Linked DNA regions of Rattus norvegicus. The protein of the gene in region 1 interacts with the protein of each later gene in a pairwise test. Links are inferred from orthologs where the notes say so. Each region holds a gene or a part of one and is shown on either strand. Other genes may lie near its edges.

The links. The genes of interacting proteins can lie anywhere in the genome.
Region 2: the proteins of Mid2 (region 1) and Cep57l1 interact in binary tests that used the Homo sapiens proteins (3 or more experiments, as listed by UniProt). The two-hybrid records come from large-scale screens. The link is inferred for Rattus norvegicus from reciprocal best matches to the Homo sapiens genes MID2 and CEP57L1.
Region 3: the proteins of Mid2 (region 1) and Ccdc42 interact in binary tests that used the Homo sapiens proteins (3 or more experiments, as listed by UniProt). The two-hybrid records come from large-scale screens. The link is inferred for Rattus norvegicus from reciprocal best matches to the Homo sapiens genes MID2 and CCDC42.

The regions. Positions count from the first base shown.
Region 1 is NC_086039.1:109,227,277-109,230,838, forward strand, and holds part of Mid2 (probable E3 ubiquitin-protein ligase MID2), read left to right. Parts: intron 1-1,010; coding exon 1,011-1,244; intron 1,245-3,562. UniProt on the Homo sapiens protein: E3 ubiquitin ligase that plays a role in microtubule stabilization. Mediates the 'Lys-48'-linked polyubiquitination of LRRK2 to drive its localization to microtubules and its proteasomal degradation in neurons.
Region 2 is NC_086038.1:46,874,036-46,878,185, forward strand, and holds the start of Cep57l1 (centrosomal protein CEP57L1), read right to left. Parts: upstream 2,813-4,150; 5' UTR 2,754-2,812; coding exon 2,709-2,753; exon of another isoform or gene 2,583-2,708; coding exon of another isoform or gene 2,463-2,582; intron 1-2,462. Other genes in the region: Sesn1 (sestrin-1), read left to right, coding at 3,895-4,150. UniProt on the Homo sapiens protein: Centrosomal protein which may be required for microtubule attachment to centrosomes.
Region 3 is NC_086028.1:53,787,582-53,791,644, reverse strand, and holds the start of Ccdc42 (coiled-coil domain-containing protein 42), read right to left. Parts: upstream 2,813-4,063; 5' UTR 2,646-2,812; coding exon 2,563-2,645; intron 2,260-2,562; coding exon 2,154-2,259; intron 1,725-2,153; coding exon 1,620-1,724; intron 1-1,619. UniProt on the Homo sapiens protein: Essential for male fertility. Required for sperm development.

The DNA of each region.
Region 1 (3,562 bases):
TTTTTCAGACAAGATCAAGTGTGCTTCAGGTGGTACGGTTGTAGACCACATGTACCTTTAGAAACAATATGTTTTAGTTCATGTGACATAAAAGTGGACATCTGTCTGTGGCTCATTGGCAGAGATCTTGATCAGTGTTACATATCGTTCAGGCTTCAATAGTAGTAAAAAAAGAAGTGCTTTATCAAAAAAATCAAATTTATTTCTTATAATGCACCACATGAGTCCCCTGAGCTGTTCGGACTCAGGATTAGTTTTCCAGACACATTTTTCACATAAAAAAAATAGCTGTCAGAGGTGACAGCCTACAATTGTTAAACTGACGGAAATAAAGACTAATCAATATCCATGAAGGAAAAACAAGATAGTAAAGGATGACACCAGCTTGTTCAGAATGCTGGCCACTTTCGGGATTATCGTATGGTCATCTCTGCAGCAGAGTCTGTACACAATCACTCTGTTGTTCATAGCTATATTCTTATTATATCAACGCACCTATTACTTATTATCTGCTTCACTCCAGACATTGTAAGTTAATTTTGTATCATTATTCCCCATAACGAATCTATAAGGTAACTACCATGCCCATTTTACAGTGGGAAATTCTTATCAATTTGCATTTTAAATAGTGTCAAATGCGTAGGAGAAATCATTTTGAAGTAAACATAGGTTGAAGTCCATGAAATGAGAAAACAGTATTTTGCTTTGCTATCTCTATATGTGCCTTTAAAGGCATTCTAGAAAACTGGAGAAATCATTACAATAACTTAGTCTTACATATTTGTCACGGATGTACTTAGCGGGAGCTGAGGTCTCAACACATTGCTTCAGTCTGCATGGTTGTTGTCCTTTAAGAGAATTTCTATAAAGCTAGGGATGGTGCTGTGCTTTTCTAGCATGGGCTTAATCCCCATGTCTGGGGAAAAAAAAAACCCACAAGAAAAAAATAAAACTCCTACTACTTCTGAGACAAGGTATTTCCTTACCACTGTCTTCATTTCTCCTTTCAGCTCCAAACCCACCATCTATCCGAGAAGAACTCTGTACTGCTTCCCATGACACCATTACGGTCCACTGGATCTCAGACGACGAGTTCAGCATCAGCTCCTATGAGCTTCAGTACACCATATTCACTGGCCAGGCTAACTTCATCAGTAAGTCATGGTGTAGTTGGGGCCTGTGGCCAGAGATAAGGAAATGTAAGGAAGCAGTAAGCTGCTCAAGACTGGCCGGTGCGCCACGAGGCAAGTGTTTGTAAGACATGTGAGGTTGTTTAGTATAGACTTTCATAGACAGTGTAAGCTCCCCAGGGTGTTGTAAAACATTACTGATGAATGATAAGCAAGTCGTGTATTTCCCTGCTGGGTAGTCGCTGGGATCATCCCTAATGGTTTATGTAACCCGTAGCCTTCCTTTAATCCATATCACTCCATTGACCGAAAGTGCTGCTTAATATTTGTTCCTGGGTAGCTAAGTCACCACCATTCCACGTGAGTGAACTCTATCTCCCTCCCCCTGCCCCCTCTCTCAGTCTCCTTCCATTTCATTATCATGATAAGAGAAAGTTCCCTTCAAAGGCCATTGCTTCTTTTATTCCACCTATTTGTGTCTATGAACATGTAGGTCAGTCTTCTGCCCTGTCATTCTTCTCTTTGCTACTTCTTCATTTCCACAAATAAATCCAGTAAATAAAAAAGCAGTGGTGGAGCCAAGTACAGTGGCTCATGCTGATAATCCCAACATGCAGGACGTTCAGGCAATAGAATTATAATTTCAAGGCCTATCTCAAAACAATAACAACAACAACAACCCCCAAACAAACAAACAAACAAACAGCAGTATCAGTGGGCCACAACGGTAAATACATATGTTTAAAAGGCTGTATCAGCCTACATGTGAGGATGGTTTCACCTCCTAGTGAACCGGAGCCAAGACCAGGCGCAGTAGGAACTTAACTGATTGGCTGCAGTCAGTAGGAATTGAGCAGAAAGGTTCCCCTCACTTCATTGGGGTGGGAGCAATGGGATCCAAGGAGAATCAAAGCAGAATTCAAGCAGTTGCATTGGCAAAGCTGCAAAATAATATTTTCTTTTACTTTGTACTTTGCATTTCTGTCTCTCTTCACAGAACAGCATGAATAGACTTTATTCAAATAAACCGTCTTCATGCTTTCTTTTCCTAGCTGGTAACAATTCTTGGGCAAACTTCTGGGTTTTTTTTTTTTTTTTGTCAGTACTGGGGTGGAGAGATGAGGGAGCAAAATGTTTAAAAGCACTTGCCTCCTGCAGCTCCAGTCTAAGCTGCTTGGTTCATGCACCCCTTGTCCCTGGGCATTTCTTCAGATTATGAAGTCACAAGCTCTAATAGGTTTCTTCTTATAGTATACACTGTAATTTCTGGAAGCCAGTATCAAAAACAGGAACTGTCCTTTAACTTCCTGATAGGGGAAGAATAATTATTTCCCAGAAGTTGAGAACAGGTTCAAGATATGACAAACGTAAAAATTACCACCTGTTTTCAAAGCTCCAGAATCCTTTGTAATTAAAGGCCTAAAGGAGTTGCTACTAATGACAAGGTTATAAGCATCTTAGAGTTGGACTGTCCCTTAGAAAGTATCTGATCTAATCTTCTCCTCTACCCACAAGTAACTATCTCTGCTTGAATGCTGCTAGTGAGGAAATGTTCATTTTCATGAAAGCAGTCCATTTGATTGCTGGACAGCTATGAATGGTCTCCAGTTCTCTTTGTAAATAACAGGGACAAAAGTAAACTATGTGTGCATTCCGCTTTGCCATTCTCACGTCTGTTATCTCATTTAGTCTTCACAAGCTCTTAGCCTTCCGAGATTGAATTGATTCAAGTTTCACACAAGAAGAAATTGGTGCTGCAGTTAATTGAGTTTCCCAAGGACACAGAACTCAGAAAGGATTGAGATCAGAACCTGTGACTGTCAGACTTCAAGCTTGAGGTTTCTTAATTAAACTTTCTGTGCCTCATTAACAAACATTCTATCTTTCGCATAACAGTTGCTCAGATATTTTAGGTAACTCATATGTAACTACTAAATTTCTTCATCTTTATGACTCAACCTTTTTAGTTCTTCAAGTTGCTCCCTTTCAGTCAGCTTTTAAGGGCTTTTATCATCATGAGATTTGTTTTATGGACTGTCGACTGTCGGTCAAAGTGCATCTAAAACATGCATTGTGTCAAAAATGAATATAAGTACTCTGAAAGGGTTATGACTTCCCCAAAGGATATCTTTATTTTTTATCTTCTCTGAGGCAGGCTGTCTAGTAGCTCAGGCTGGCCTTCAATTTCCTGTGTAGTAGACAGTAACCTTGAACTTCTGAGAGTCTTCCGTCTCCACTGGCTGAGTGCTGAGATTATAGACATGTATTGCCGAACTCAGTTTTATGTAATGTTGGAGACGGAATCTAGGGCTTTCTACATAGTCGGCAAGCACTCAACCAATGCAAGGGTGTCCCTAATCAATGGATTATATTTCTCGCACATGAGCTTCTGCCCTCTTGTTCTGTACGTTTCTTGGCAGCCACATTGATTA
Region 2 (4,150 bases), on another chromosome or scaffold:
TGGGGATTTAGCTCAGTGGTAGAGCGCTTGCCTAGGAAGCACAAGGCCCTGGGTTCGGTCCCCAGCTCCGAAAAAAAGAACCAAAAAAAAAAAAAAAAGCCGTATTTTCAAGTAGGTCCCTCTCTGTCCAGTCTTCCCCTGTCTCCTCTGCCCAGACCTCGTGTCCCTCTGGAATCTTTAGTCCCACCGGGATGATTAAATTGGATGACCTTCAGAACTCCCAAAAGCCCTTGGTTTTGATGATTCATGAGATGATTTGATGTAGCGTCAGAGAATGCAAAGCACATAAATTAACTCAGAGAAAGGTAACTGGAGGGGCCTACAAACAAAACAGCCCATGTCCCCAAACAAAAACCATGGGCCCTTGGTCCCCTGTGACGCTCTGGAGAATTAAGCCCACCCAGAACAAGGCAGAGAAAACTCCACACCACTCCCCCTCCCAGCACGGACTCTCTGCTCACTGTCTGCATCATCCTCCACAATAGCAGAGTCCTCTGTACCCCACCCGCGCACACACACCAGATTGGAGGCTAAACCATCTTCTCAGTATTGCAGGCCTTTGGATAAAGGCAACTCCACCCTGCTAGCTCATCTTCTAACAGCTGTCCCGAGGTGGCTGAGGTGGCTGATGTGGGCAGCCAGCACATACAAGCCATCAAGGATCCTCCTCAGACTGAAAGGGGAACCTTTTCTCGCCAGTCAAGCACTTTTCATTCCTTTCCAATTTGCTTCATTGTTTCCTTTGCCATGCACTCTTATTTGCTCTCCTAGACTACAAGCTCAGTGACGCCCTACTGAGCAGAAGGCAGTCAGCAGGCACTTGTTGGCTGAAGCCTTGTGCTATTCATTTGGCCTTCATTTTCCTTGGGATGAAAACTTCCCTGACTTTCTAAGATTGGGCTAAATGTTCCCACAGCCAACAATATCAAATAGTATCACAACTTATTTTATACATTAATTTTCTAATACGATGAGGGGTTATGTCTTTTCCACTCGCCTGTGGTGGGATTTTAATCCAGCAACATGGCTACTCAGATTAGAACACTGACATGCCCTTAGCACACACCTTTTATCCCAAACAATGAAGGTAAAGTTAGTTTGTAGAAGGAAGCAGCCATGTGATGTCTACTTTCAAACTGAGAGGCAGACAAAGTGACGAATCAGAAAAAGATTTGATAGAATAGGATATGCCCAGCTCTCAGGAAAAGAGAAAGGAGAGAGGCAACATAAGAGGGAGCAGAGCAGAGGGAGAGGAAGGAAGGGAGCTTTACTGGGAGTTTTACAGAGGCAGGTTGAAGAGAGAACAAGTTAGACACAGGGAAAGACTGAATGAGCAGGAGCAGAAGGTTAGAACAGTTCGCTAGAGTGAGTGAGTTTGAAGCCAAGCAGAGTAATTCAGTCAGAAGCAAGAGATGCCAGTTTGAGTCAGAACAGCTGGGCGCTGAACCAGCCAGCCAGAGTTCAGAGAGAGCCAGGAAGGGTGAGCTTATTCAGCAGTAAGTCTCAGAAGCTGAAAACATTCTAGGCTTCTACAGAAGCTAGAAGTTTCTAGGATTAGTCCTAGGTTAGCAAAGCCTTTTTTTTTTTTTTTTTTTTTTTGGTTCTTTTTTTTCGGAGCTGGGGACCGAACCCAGGGCCTTGCGCTTCCTAGGCAAGCGCTCTACCACTGAGCTAAATCCCCAGCCCCAGGAACAAGCCTTCTTAAACAACCACCCCATCTCTCCAGTCCCTGATCAATATTTTATGACTACGTTTACTCTGTAAAACAAAGGATTAAAATCTAATCCGATTACCAGTCTTACTAGACAAACCTTCCAAATCTGAGTTTTCTCAAGTATAAACACTTCACAACACCTTCTGAGAAATGTCCACATCACTCAAAGACAACACATTTGGGAGGTTTTTATGGGCTTCTTTTCATACAGAACCTTTCAAAGCTTGTAAAACTTCGAACCTAGGGACATTTGGGAGTTCTTCTCGGTCTCACACAAAACGGACTTGCTTTCAAAGATCCCTTCGGATTCTATTTGACTTAGCAAAAACACAGCGCAAAACACACCCCTGTAAGAACAAAGGTGCAATTGCAATGCTTAGTAGGGATTCCTAATCCATCCAGAACTGGCTCCGTAAGATTCAAACGAGTGTGACATCCGGAACGTAGGGCTCAGAGGGGTGTTCTCGAATCTTACAGATCCCGTGCAAGAGGATTGCGGAAGCAGCGGCGTCGTTTGTTTTCCCCAGCTTGCCTGTCTTAAGGCTGCTCCTCGACCTTCCAAACAATTATCCCCAAATCCTTGCTCCAGTCACCCACCAAGTTTAGCGCCTGCACTATTTCTCTCCCGGCAAGCCATTGGGGAAAGGCTCTGGAATGAAAGAAAGCAATCCCAGATGGCTTCAGCACCAAAATTTCAGGGGAAAACCATTTCCAATGAGCGGCTCACAGCCAAGTCTACCACGCTTACCAGACAGACGCTCCCAGTTAACCACGGCCTCCAGAACCGTTGGTTCGCGGGCAAAGACGAGTGTCGCGGTGGCATCTGGGAGTTGTATTTTCTGTCGCAAACAGAGCGCGTCGGTAGCATTACAACTACATTTCCCGAAAGCCAACGCAAAGACGCCCTGCCTACTGAATCTGGGGCTTGGCTGTCACTAATTTTTAGGCTAATCTTTAATTATATCCCACTTATACTAGGAATACTACAAAGCACCTTTATTTGTTCGTTTTTTCTTGTGCGATAAACATCTCGGGGCATCCGTACTCCTTAATTTCCTTTACCCTTCTTCAAGCCAGCGCCTCCAAACGTCGAGAACGGACAACGCCGCGGAGAGCGCATGCGCCTTGGCCGGCGTCGCGCATGCGCAGCAGCCGGCCTTAGCCGGCGGCGCGCGTTGGACTCGGGGTCCGGAGGTACTCTGCCCGAGGGCGGGGCTGCTTCCAATGGCTGCCTTTGCGGGTCGCGTGTGCCTGGGCGGAGAGGCAGGCATGGGGCAGGGGCGGCTCCCGGCGGTCCCGGGCGGGGACAGGGGAGGGGCTGGGTGTGAGGACCCCGTCTCCCCTCCCTGCTCCCGCCTTCTGGGCCGAGCCCCACCGACGGGGCTGGGCGAAGGGGCGGGCTCTGTGCCTGGGGCCCTGTGCTTCAGCAGCGCAGCCCGGGGCTCGATGACTGCTGGGTCGCTGGGTGCCCTCTGGCTTGGCGGAGGTGGGCGAGGACAGAGGGGTAAGAGAAGCACGGCGTACCCCGGAAGACAGGAACCGGCAGGGTCGGCGACGCTGCCCTCTGTCGCCGCTGACACAGTGACTGGTGGGCACTGGAGTCCCCGGAGCACCGGAGCCTCAGGCCCCAGCAGCTAAGGGCCAGGGTCTACCGCCTACCCCCGCCAGCAGCCCGCCCGCTGCCCTGCCGAGGCGCTAGGAGGAGCCGACAGGGGCGGAGACTGGTGTCGGAGGAGGGCGGGGTGGGAACACTAGAAAACTGGCCGCTGCACAGACAAAAAATAAAAAAATCGAATGGCTGGAGAACCTTCTACTGTTACCAGCCTTTTGGGACCAAGCACGGATTTGACAGCTCCACAACGCGAGGATATCCGCTGACCCTGCGACACCGAGAGCACTTCCCCGAGACTCCCTGTCCAGCTAACCAGCTCTGTGAGATTGCAACTTTCCAAGTTGGTTCTTTTCCATCTCTGTCAGAAGACTGCCCTTTCGTGTGGGAGAGGGTGCCTGGGTGAACCGCCTTGTGGATCGATTTGAAAGCATCAACTTTAAAAAAGCACGTGTGATTCCCAGTGCCATCCAGACGCCTGCTTTCGTGACCGCTGGATTTTTCTGACTTTATTCTTAACCAATCTCTCTCTCAAAAAGACTGAAAAAGAAAAAGCTCACGATTGTCAGTCATGGCCGAAGGAGAGAATGAAGTGAGGTGGGAGGGTCTGTGCAGTAGAGACCCAACTACTAGAGAGACAGCACTGGAAAGCGTTAGGCAGATTGTTCTGAGAAAAACCGAGTACCTTCGTTCTGCCAAAGAGACACTTTCTCGACCTTCGGACGGGCTTTCAAATGGTGTTTCTTTGGATGGGATGAATAAACTTCTTGCCCATCTGCTTATGCTGTCCAAGAGATGTCCCTTTAAAGACGTGAGAGAGAGAAGCG
Region 3 (4,063 bases), on another chromosome or scaffold:
GACATTTTGGGGAATGGAGAAAGGCAACAGATATGTGTCCTGCTCCAAAGCACAAGAGAGGCCCGAGGGATGCCAAAGTCAGTCCTATCTGAAACACCTAGAAAGTTTTTAAACACCTATAGGTGTCTGGTCTCAACCTGAGACCTGCTAGAGGCAGAAGGAAAAGTTACTGACGTCTGTATTTGCAACAAGTTCCATAGCTGCTGACTGTCTGGAAGTCACTTGGGGAGCCCTTAACTCTCAAACTTCCTGTCCCCTCAAATACTCTATCAACTTTGCTCTGGTCCAGGTGGACTGTATCTCAGAAGAAAAACTCATTGATATCCCTGCTCTGCACAGTCGTGCGTCCAGAATGAGGAACTTTAATAAGAGTAGGGTTCCTCCAGGAGAGGGCAGCAATGAGCTCCCCCTGCAACAGGACTTAGCCTTTCAGGGCTTCCCTACTGCTGGTCCTGGAGGATTGCTGACCAACAAGTCTGGGTGGGATTTTGTTTTGTTTACATTTTTATTTATTTGTGTGTGTGTATGTGTGTGTACACGCTACAGTGCACGCCCAGAGATCAGAGGAAAAGTCCTGGGAGTCAATTGTCTTTTTCCAATGGGCAGGTCCTCCGTCCGGGTCTAGCTCAGGCTGTCAGCCCTGGCAGTAAGTGCTTTCGCCCACTGAGCCATCTTGCCAGCCCAAATCATTCCTCTAAGTACTGATTAAGTGGACTATCCTCTGAGCCAAACTGCTGTCATCTTTAGGACCCAGCCACAGAAGATCCATCACAGCTGGGCTTGCTGACCGTTGGTGCTCCCTCATTGTAAGGGGTGGAGAGAATCAGGGGACCCTCACTTGAGTATCCAGCAACTCCTTCCAACCAGTTGGATGGAAGTCTGCCTTAGTTTCACATGACCCTAGCGTCTCTGGGAGGAGCTAGAGTATATAGATAGGGAAGGACTGGGGAGAGGTGTCCTCTGTGTAAGCATGGAAGCCATCATCTACGCTGTATACCTTCCAGTGTGGCTCCTTTAGGGTCATTCATGCTCCTGTTTGTAACTACCCATCTGTGCTTTGTTAGTAATCCTGATAAACTCATCGCTTCCTCAGGATCCCTGAGACCTTAGAAGGAAGAAGGGGAACGTTGTTTAACCCCAAATCCAAGGTAAAGATTCTTGAAGCCAGAGTTTCTTACTAGTTTCTTTGCTTCGTGGTCCTTCAATGCAATGGTTTCCCACCTTCATCTGTCCCTCACTTTCAGTGCAAGGACAAAGATGGAGGGATACAGTAGTGAGTGAGTGGACCAAGTCCCTCTGACTCACTGCTGTATCCACAAATACTCCCGTCTATCATCACAGCCATTCATCTACCCATCTGCTTGATACGCTATCCTGGACTCAGGCAAGGAAAAGGTCAACTAGAGAGCAGAGACTGGCAGGTAATGGGACAGCTCAGAGATGGTAAATAGAATATAGAAGATGCCTGGGAAAGGTCAGGAGCTACCAGACCAGGGAAAACACCTTTAATCCGGAAGGTCGGGAGCATGGAGAGCCTACGAAGTCAAGTGAGGGGGAAGAACCATTTGGTCCAGCACTGTGTAAAGTCTCCACCCACTGCAGACCACCCTACTTTGTACCTGGATGAATTGCTCGAACTTCTGGATATGGGCCTTCAGCTGCTCTTCCTTAATACCGAGTTCCTCCCAGCGCAAGTTCAGCGTTTCCATTCTTCGTTGGAACGTCTTTAGAGGATGTGAGGAGGTGAGCCGCCTGACAAGGGTGCTCAGAAAGACTCTAACATCATTTGCCCAAAGTGTTTTATCCTTTAGCCAGGAGGCTCTTGAAATGCTGATGATGTAGCTCAGTGGAAAAGCAGTCACCAGGGGTTAAATCTCTAACTCCTCAAATAAAACGTAGTTACAGAAGGACTTGTGGTTTGTGCACCCTATTCTGCACAGAGCTCCTAGTATAGTATCCCATGACCCTAGTTCCTCATATACTAGGACCACTGTTCTGTGTGGAGGGAAGAGGCTAGAACCACTAGCTAGAGCTCCAGCTCTAGCCACCTCAACCTCCAAAGTGAGGGCCCAGCATCCATTAACCTTAAGCCCCAGCTAATTCATTCCCTACCCTGTACCCCTACCCTTAACACCCCCAACTCCCCACCTCACCTCCTTCTTATGTTCCATGGCCTCCTGCATGACCTTGGCCTCTTTCTTCTTCTCCAGGAGCCGGATGGATGGAGAGTCTGACTGTTCCTCAACATTTGGGAACTTCCTGCACAAGAAGAGCAAAAGGGGGACAGGGGCCTCTGAGAGACAGGAGCAGGGTTATGTAGGGAGTAACTCGGAGATGGATGTCCATGGGAAGGAAACCTTAACGAAAGGAGCGGTGTGTTGAGGAGAGAGGGCTACATGGGCTTTTAGGGGTGAGGGAGTGATGGGGGCCCAGAGTCAGGTGGAGTTGGGTAATGGGGTAAGGAAGTGAGGAGCCCTGGGCTGTAGGAAAGGAAGGATCAGGCAGTGGAGCATCGTGTGGGTAAGAGTGGTCCCAAGCTCAGAGGCTATACCAGACACTCACTGCAGCAGTTGAAGGAGCCGCTCTCCATACTGTAGCCGGAAGTATTCGGCCAGGTCCTCCTCTTCCATCATGCCCAAACTCATGGTGGCAACTACCTAACAGCCCGGGTGGACTACTTTTTCAGAGTGAAATGGTGAGGGGCAGAGCCACAGGGCACGCAGGGGTAGTGGCTGGGTTCTCGCTCGTCTCTCCTCCTGCTTTCAAAATCCCACAAAGAGTGGGTAGCTGAGAAACCCGCTAGAGGCTGCCTAAGTATGGTGCGCTCTTGCGGTGATTGGAGATCTGGTTACCTAGCAACAAGCTGCCTAGTTCTGTAGACCTAACTGGAACCCACGATCTGCCCTCTAACCTTTGGACCCACTAGCTCCCCACTACCTCTCCCTTTTTGTTTTTTCGAGTTAGGGTTTCTCTGTGAACCCTGGTTGTCCTGGAACTCACTCTGTAGACCAAGCTGACCTCGGGCTCAGAGAGCCACCTGCTTCTGCCTCCTGAGTGCCGTGATTAAAGGCGTGTGCTACTGCCGCCCCAATAACCTCACTCCCTTGTTGAGGTGGCCTCTCTGATCACGCTGGTACCTTTCAGGAACTCTGATCTGTTACTCCCTTACCAGACAGGGAGGCAGGGTCTGCCAGAGGAGTCCGGTGTGTGAAGCTGGCTCCTGGGGCACCACTTTCCTAGAGTTAGGGGTACGTGAGAGCGAAGGAGAGATTGGGTAGCGGATGGATGGTGAAGAAGAAAAGCAGTAGGTGCTTAGATAAGCCCAGGGAGGGGGGATGAAGTGGACAGAGAAGTGTGGAAAATGCGGGAAATGAGATGCATTAGAACCAAGTAGTGGGCCTACAGGGAGTGGCCATTAGGAGTGTGGAAAAGAGCCCAGGCAAGGCAAGGCCCCTTTAACGTGAGAGTGAGTTATTAAGTACAAAGAAGATATACTTTTGAGATGAAAGTGCGGGTGAGGGGGGTAATGGAATAAGTCCCTTGTTTAAATGGTTTACTTCTGTATGGCTACCTTCCTCCATCCCTGGGGGCACATGAGGACCTATTTGACTTGAGGGTAAAGCAGTGTAAGTTTGGGGCCCTGGGTGAAACAGCACCATAGTGACCTCTGCTGGCACTAAGCCCTAATGCTGACCCCTCTTTATCCTTCCTCCCAGCGAGCTCAGATAGGATTGCTGGGGTCTCTGGCAGAAAGACAAGGACAGAGCTTGCAGGCTAAATTGTGGGGGTCACCTGGCACGCCCTGCTGGCTACTTCCACCAGCTCCCTGAATCTCTGTCATGAGGAAAAGAGTGGTTGTATGTTCTGTATCCCTGTTCTGCCCCTGTTCTAACTTCTGTTGCTCAGGGCAACAGAAAAAAAGCCCACCCACTCTGAACTCACCCATCTATCCCCACCTCACCCCACAGTCTACTGTAAACCCCTAACCTCAACTCTAGATGTAGACCCAGCGGGATGGCAATAAGACAAATTATTTCTAAGTTTCACAAAAGGTGTGTGTGTG